Linked DNA regions of Neurospora crassa OR74A. The protein of the gene in region 1 interacts with the protein of each later gene in a pairwise test. Links are inferred from orthologs where the notes say so. Each region holds a gene or a part of one and is shown in the gene's direction. Other genes may lie near its edges.

The links.
Region 2: the proteins of cac-1 (region 1) and pcn interact in binary tests that used the Schizosaccharomyces pombe proteins (3 or more experiments, as listed by UniProt). The link is inferred for Neurospora crassa OR74A from reciprocal best matches to the Schizosaccharomyces pombe genes pcf1 and pcn1.

The regions. Positions count from the first base shown.
Region 1 is NC_026505.1:5,173,168-5,177,535, reverse strand, and holds the start of cac-1 (chromatin assembly-1 protein), read left to right. Parts: upstream 1-1,475; 5' UTR 1,476-2,091; coding exon 2,092-2,200; intron 2,201-2,268; coding exon 2,269-3,642; intron 3,643-3,702; coding exon 3,703-4,298; 3' UTR 4,299-4,368. Other genes in the region: NCU04199 (hypothetical protein), read left to right, coding at 1-244. UniProt on the Schizosaccharomyces pombe protein: Acts as a component of the histone chaperone complex chromatin assembly factor 1 (CAF-1), which assembles histone octamers onto DNA during replication and repair.
Region 2 is NC_026501.1:9,447,198-9,450,835, forward strand, and holds pcn (proliferating cell nuclear antigen), read left to right. Parts: upstream 1-1,197; 5' UTR 1,198-1,433; intron 1,434-1,554; 5' UTR 1,555-1,556; coding exon 1,557-1,598; intron 1,599-1,694; coding exon 1,695-2,414; intron 2,415-2,487; coding exon 2,488-2,505; 3' UTR 2,506-2,860; downstream 2,861-3,638. Other genes in the region: NCU09240 (hypothetical protein), read left to right, coding at 1-496.

The DNA.
Region 1 (4,368 bases):
CGGAAAGGCCCTGAGCTTTGCCAGCGGGAGCAGTAGCGAGCGTCTAGATGCTGTCCCTGACCTCCAGGCCCACCCACAACGACAGCTGGCAACCAACAGCTTACTCAACGCCACTCTGACGCGCGAGAAGAGTGTTAAGAACCCCGAGGAGCTCAAGAGGAGAGGAAGCGTGGACGAAAGGACATATGAGAGGACAATGACATTCAACTCGTCCGGTCGCTTGTTCATCGCCAACCCTGATTAAAGCAAGCAGAATCGGGAGCGGATCGAAGAAGGAGATTTTTACTACGTCGGGTTTTGGGCTTTCCAAACAGCCGGAACCTGTGATACACAGCATGGGAATTTGTGCCTGAAACTACATGCATAGCTAGGCGCATGGGTGTTTGCGTTTTGTTCTTCTTTTTAAATCTTTTCTTTTTTTTTTTTCCAAAGGGAAAAGGTTGTCAGGCACGGGCACGGTCACTGTCTCGAATGCACTGCACAACACCACAGGTCGTTCGATGGTAGCCAATTATTGCTTGGATAGGGTTATTCGGAAAAATAATACTTTGCTTTGGGACACACACACACACACACACACACATCCTTGAGATACCATTGAATGCGATCTGGTTTTTGTTTTACATTTTCCGATGAGACGTACATACACGCTACAACAACTATGCGATATGTGACAAGCATCAACTTAGTTGTCATCCTTACGGCGTCTACACTGCCGATCCTGTTTGGAGCGCTTAACGCTTACCATACAAGCTCATTAAGTCATGGTATAATAGAACGGTTTACTAATTTCTTGGTTTTCCAACGGCCTCTGATCCAAGTTTCTAAATGGGCCAAAGCCGGTAGTTCCGTCCCTACAGCCATATAATAAGGCCAGCTATAGGTAGAGCTATGGTCACACCCTTTGGAGAACTTGGCCCCATAACACGCGCTGTTATAGGAGAATCGGGAAGCTGGGAAGAGGATGACGAAAGGACAAGACACAGGACGGAACCCATGGCAGCCTTCAATGCACCACGCCTAAAGTCAAGCCACACACGACGAGACTATCTACCTAAGGTGAAACCTTGCCACGTTCACTTTTTCTTGGCCTTTGCAACTGAACTGAGTTGAACCTGCACGCAGGATGGGAAGAGTTCAGGGTTAGGGCTGGTATTAGTGATGCCATGATGCCCGAGATGGAAATTGACTGTACTACCTCTACTGCCTGAAAGTTGAAGACAGGCAGCCATTTTGCAGGCAAATGATAGTTGAGATGAAATCCACGAGGTCAGTCATTGTAGGGTTTCGAAGTCGTACATGAACAACAACCGTGGAAGTTCATGATCACTAACAGGCAGGTATATCAATGGTCCACCAATCCCTTTCCAAGCATCGAACAACAGCAGCAAAGATCACTCCACTCACCACTGAACCTGCAATCAATGCCAGTGAAACATACCCGACTTGGTACCTACATTGAACTCATTGATCCACGGTTATCGATTGTTCGAACATCTGCCGTAGTTCCAGCCACAGCGACTTTAATTGAATGAAAGCAGCAAAGCCACACACCCCTCTCAAGAACTGACGCGAAATCACGCTCCGCTTCTCGTAGATTAGAAGTGGGGCACTTTAAGGCGCGGGTAGGGATCCACTTGGGCTAAATTGAACGGAAGGCGCGACGGTGGGTGTCGCCAAACGCGTCCCGCTCAGGCGGCAGCAACCGCGGACCAGGCACTCCAGTCACTGCAGAACCCAAGAATCACCAATCGGTTTCAGGCCTTTCAACTCACCCAACGACGGACCATCCGAAGAACCACCGACGGCGACATCTCGACCTTCCCGGCCTTCTCAGCAGCTGGTTCCGTTCCCATCAGCCAAACAAACGCTTTTACGACGCCGGGGAGTAACCAGCAGTGGTTCATTGCTTTTACACCGCCAGCGCATGTACGACTGGCCTAATTGTGGGACCTGGACCTTGTCTGTTCTGAACTTTGGACCCCTCAACTTCGATCGACCATTTTCAGACTAGATCGCGTCGGTTTGGACCGTGAATAGCACGCGTCAACCAAACAACCAAGTAGGACTGCTGGGGAAGGCAACACCACCATGCCTTTGTTCACAACTACCACAAGTGGACAGGAGGACTCCTCCTGTCTCAAGAGGTCACACGACCAATTCCGGGAAGAGGTTCCACCCCCAAGTTCTTTCGACGACAGTAAGTACCGCGTTCTGACATCAGCCCACGCCCCAGACGCGAGTGAAGCTAATCGCCAATCTCTACAGAGGAAAATGTTAGGTCATCACCGCCCCCATCTTCGGGGCCCGCAACCCCCAGAGCCAGAAAAGCCAGTCCTGCATTGAGCGACGCCAGCAGCCCATTGGACCGTCTATCGCGATCCCCGAGTCTATCGCCCCCACGACTCGCACCTCTCACGATTTCTACAACCAATACGCCTTCTACCCAGAAGCAGACATCCGGCGCCAAGGCTGCGTCGACAACGACAAAGTCGACAACAGGCGAACCGGCCGTCAAGAGGAAGAAGCTGACCCCTGAGGAGAAGGCAGCCAAGGCCGAGGCTGACGCTGCCAAGAAGAAGGAGAAAGAGGAGGCCAAGGCCAAAAGGGCAGCGGAACAGGCGAAACTGGAGGCAGAGAAGCAACAAAAGGCCGAAGAAAAGGAGAGGAAGAAGCGTGAGAAGGAAGAGGAACTGAAACGCAAGGAGGAGGAGAAGAAGCGAAAGCAGGAAGAGAAGGAAGAGAAGGAGCGCAAGAAACGCGAGAAGGAGGAAGAGGAAGCCAAAAAGAGAGGCCGACAGATGAAGCTCACATCGCTCTTCAAAATCAACCCAGCAACACCAAAAGAGAAGCCAGTTGCCGTCAAGGTCGAAAGCAAAGATGTCGAAATGACGGATGCACCGAGTCTCGCCAAGGAGAATGAAGCCTACCGGAGGTTATTCAAGCCCTTTTACGTGAAGGAGTTTGTCACGCTAGCCAAGAACCCCTTCGAGGTAGACGAGGAGACCAGAGAGGCCAAGTCGCGGATACTGGACGAGTACACCGAGGGAAAGCGGGCGGAGTTCCAGACACCGGAAAAGTTTGACCCCTTGGAGGCTCTACAGCTGCCTTTCAAGACCCAGAGGCGCGGACGCCCATATCCGAGTGTGCGCAAGATCATGACGGAGATTTATGGAGAGTCTTCAAGCAGGGCTATGGACCTCACCACAGAGAACACTCAGTTCAGAGATGCGCGGGAGGCATTGAAAGCGGTACCAGTCAAGTGCATCAAATTCAGCCAAGATGTGCGGCCACCGTATGTCGGTACAATCAGTGGTCTTCCTCCGGGCGTCAAGAGTCTCTATAAACTCGCAAGAAACCCAACTTCACGAACCATCCTTCCCTTGGACTACGACTATGATTCGGAGGCCGAGTGGCAAGACGAGGAAGGCGAAGATGTGGAGGATCTGGATGATGAAGAGGAAGACTTGGAGATGGATGAGGACATGGACGACTTCTTGGATGACTCCGAAGATGTCGGCCCTCAGCGTCTCGTCTTTTCCGGCGGTATGGAGCCAGAGAGCACTGGCATATGCTGGGAGAATGAGAAGCGGTGCACAGTGAAGCCAGAGCTGTACCAGTGCCGGATGGAGATTATATTGGGTACGTTCCTCTGGAGATATTATTGCTGTTTGAATGATGCTGACCTTTTGTCGGTTGCAGAGTCCCTGGACGAAGAAACCAGCATTGACCCCTTTTCGACTGATTATTGGGCTTCGAAGTCGAAGACCAGCTCATCAGGTAACGAAAAATCTAGTGTGATCGCATCCGCATCCGTCACTGCTCAGACTACTTCATCATCCTCATCCTCACTCCTCCATCCATCCTCTGCCGCTACCACCACCAGTTCGAAATCTGCCAAGGCTGGTGGCTCTCAAGCACCAACCAATGCGTTCCAGGCACTTACAAAGGGTACTACAGCAGGTAACTCTCCTCCTAACAAGGCTATCACTACTGCAGGCGCCTCAACTATTGTTGCTGCTGCCACTACTGCTGCTCCCTCAGCGACAGCACCAGGTGGCGTTGTTGGTGGTGGGCGTCGACCTCCCGGTCGACAGAAGATGTCGGACCAACCCCTCCCTGCCGCTGCGCAAGAACAGCTCAAGGCGCTCATGCATGAGATGCCCATGGTTAGCAAATTGGGTATCATCGAGGTCTTTGCTTCTAAGCACCCGGATATGGTCCGGGCGCAGATCAAGGCTTCGTTTGAGTCCATGACTGAGAAGCAAGGAAAGAGTGGTTGGAAGTGGAAGGAGTAGCGGTCTTTTTCTCTACATCCTAAAGGTCGATGGAGTTCATGTGGATTCGAGTAACTGTGTGAGTATATAC
Region 2 (3,638 bases), on another chromosome or scaffold:
GTCCATTGGCCAAGACCTCAAGATGCTGCAGCAAGCCTGGGAGGATGGCAAGGCTGCCCTAGCATCGGGAATCGACCGCAACGAGAAACGTATTTCGTCTATGAGCATGCTGTACTCGCCTGCTACCTCTCTAAGCGGGTTGACCACTGTCGGCGAAGAGAACGAAACCGGCGGCGGAGCGGAGGATGCGCTGAAAGCGCTCACCGGGGAGACGTCTCCCACACGAAACTCCTCGCCAAGTCCCAACGAGCCGGATGTGTTTGAGGCGGTTGCGCTATCGGCTCGGCCCAGGAGTATGCTGACCAGGGAAGAGAGATTGGTGAAAATGAAAGAGGAGAGAGAGATGAGGGCAATGCAGAGAGAGAAGGCGGAAGCGAGTAGGGGCATGTTGAAGGAGTTGGAGATGGTGATTAATCTGAGGCCGAAGAGACATACAACCATGGGACCAGGCGGGGGAAACGGCAGGAGTGCGGCGCCGACGAGGATTTCTTTATGACGACAGACAAACTCTGCGGCATTCGCGCTGTCTTTCTTTCGGGTTTCTTTTCTTTGACCACTATAATCTTACATGGCATCAAGGCATTGCGCGCAGACAAAAGAGAGGGGCGAACAACAACGACGAGAAGGTCAGCTTGCCAGTTTTCTTGAAAAGCAACAACAGCAACAACAACAACAACTTTGGGTAGAATGGCGTTTTGACGGACATACAGACCATGGGAACATTTGAAAGCTGGGGCAGGCAAGCGAGCAATGTGGGACACAGAATTTAACGGCGTTTACACAGTTTATACAGACGATCTTGGGCGGGCATTCTGTAACAAATTCTTTTTTGAGTTGGGGGAGGGTGTAAGATAGGTGAAATAATGTAATAATCAAAATATATTGGAGAATGGAGGTAGAACAGAGTTCGCGCAGAAATGAGGGAGTCGAATAGTTGAAGTCATATCATCGGAACTTGAAGTGAGCAGCATACCTTTGGTTCGACATTGCCGTCGAGACACGATCCAAACAGAAAGAGGGGATTCAGGGCGACAGCTCCCACTGAAAACGCGAAGATTGCGCCTGAAAGCGGACTAACAGCGCTGGAGAACGGGACCGTGCACCGGGAGCTAGCCTGAAGCGGTAAATCAATTAAGCCTAACCCCGGCTCAGCGCGTTTAGCTGCCATTAGCAGGCGCGTCAAGTCGCGAAGTGGGTGTCCCGGCACCACCTGTGGTATTGGTGGTTCCTCTCTTTTTATCGTCCATTGCCTGCCTGTTGCAGCTTTTTGAACAAAACCATAACTCTTCCCAAATCCAAATCTTTTCTTCTCTCTTCTTTCTTCGTCAAACCACGAGCGCCTCTCTCTCCCGAAAGTGATACCCAGCGCGCGCATATTTTCTTCCCTCTTTGTCTTTTTTTCCCCCGTCGAGTTCGGTAATTCACATCCATCAGTATGTCGTCTCTGTCTGAGCGTGAAGCTGCCTGCTCGCTTGCTCGCTGGCCCGGCACTAGGAAGAAAAGCTGGAGAACTGGAGTGATGGGTTGCTGACTGGAGGACTACCACAACAACAGAAATGCTTGAAGCACGGTTGGAGCAGGCGTCGATCCTGAAGAAGGTATGTCATGTCCTCTTCCTGTCAAGTGCTGTCTGTTTCCTTTCCCAGCTAGAAGACCCCCACTAACTCTGTCATGATGATGACGATGATGTCCAGGTCGTCGACGCCATCAAGGACCTCGTGCAGGACTGCAACTTCGACTGCAACGACTCGGGCATCGCCCTGCAAGCCATGGACAACTCGCACGTCGCGCTCGTGTCCATGATGCTCAAGACGGAGACCTTCTCGCCCTTCCGGTGCGACCGCAACATTGCGCTCGGCGTCAACCTGACGTCGCTGACCAAGGTGCTCCGCGCCGCCCAGAACGAGGACATCCTGACGCTCAAGGCCGAGGACGCGCCCGACGTGCTCAACCTCGTCTTCGAATCTTCCGAAAACGACCGTATCTCCGAGTACGACCTCAAGCTCATGGACATTGACCAGGAGCACCTGGGCATTCCGGATACCGAGTACGCGGCCACCATCAGCATGCCGTCTTCTGAGTTTAAGCGCATCACCACCGACCTCATGGCCATGAGCGAGAGCGTCAACATTGAGGCGAGCAAGGACGGCGTCAAGTTTAGCTGCCAGGGCGACATTGGCAACGGCAGCATTACCCTCCGCCAGCACACCAACGTTGATAAGCCCAGCGAGAATATCGAGATTGAGTTGAGCGAGCCGGTTTCCCTCACGTTCTCGCTCAAGTACCTGGTCAACTTTTGCAAGGCGAGCGCGCTGTCGAGCACGGTCAAGATCTGCCTCTCCAACGAGGTGCCCCTTTTGGTCGAGTACAACATTTCGGCTAGCAGCTACTTGAGGTTCTATCTTGCGCCCAAGGTATGTCTTTGTTTGTCATTTTCTGGGTGGTTGTTTTCTGTCAGGCGTGATGCTAACTGGTTCTGATTCACAGATTGGCGACGAGGAGTAAACGCCCCATTTACCTCCAACAACCGAACCACATCTTTGTTACGAACACCACGAAACTATGCCTTCATGTATACCTCGAGTTGCTATAAAATCATGGGGAGGAGGAGAATTGCAAGTCATGTAGAAGATAAGGGGTGATGCAGTGATGAGAAGAAGAAAAGGGATATGAAGAAAAAGAAATCTGTGTTTTTGAAAGAGTCTGGCACTAGTACACTACACACAAATGTTTTAGAGGGCGTTTTGTTCTTTCTGCTGCGAAGATGAATGTTTAGGGGAGACGACGAGGTGTCAATGATTATTGCGATGGCCTCCAACAACACACCTTCACCAAGGAACCCGATGCTGTTGTCGTTTCCTTTTTTTTTTTTTTTTTTTTTTTTTTTTTTGTCTGATGGTTTCTAACATTGATATCGGCAAACTGTCCTCCCTGTATCACTATGGTAATCATCGCTTCTCGGGAGTTCAGCTTGGCGTTGAAAGTAGGTATCTCAGAAGTGGGTTCAATCACAAGTACACCAGTACTGACATCACCACTTCCCGTCAGTCGGCGTGTTTTCCAGAAATCTTCCACCCGACTGTTTTTTTTTTTTTTTTTTTTTTTTTTTTTTTTTTTTTTTTTTTTTTTTTTTTTTTTCATCCGATGAAGTTCCTGGTGTTCACCAGCTTCCCCACATTGTTCATTCAATGTATGTAACTTACCTACCCACCACCTGCGTGACGTCCCCTCCCGCCTACAACAGCCCAGGGCCCGGGGCGCGCCCAGCAGCTGAATGGACTCCGCATTCAAGTTGCCCCTAACCCGCCCTGCAGGAAACTTTTTGGCGGGGCATGGGTGGTTCCTGGGGAAAAAAAAAAGAGTCATTGACTGGCCGGCCCTGTGCCATGACCGTTAGCGGCGAATTTCTGGACCATTCGAGGACTCGAATCAAGATGTGGGCAAATGGGTGGCACGAGAGGGCGATATCGCAGTTTATTTGATTGATGATACTATTTCCAATTGATCGAATCTTTCGGCTATATACGGTCTTCTTCTTTCACCGCTGACTGACTGACTAGGTCTAGAGTCAGACTCACTTGGTGTGTCACAGTGTTGCTTGCTTAGTTCTTTTTCCGGAATCTTTCCTCCATCTTTTC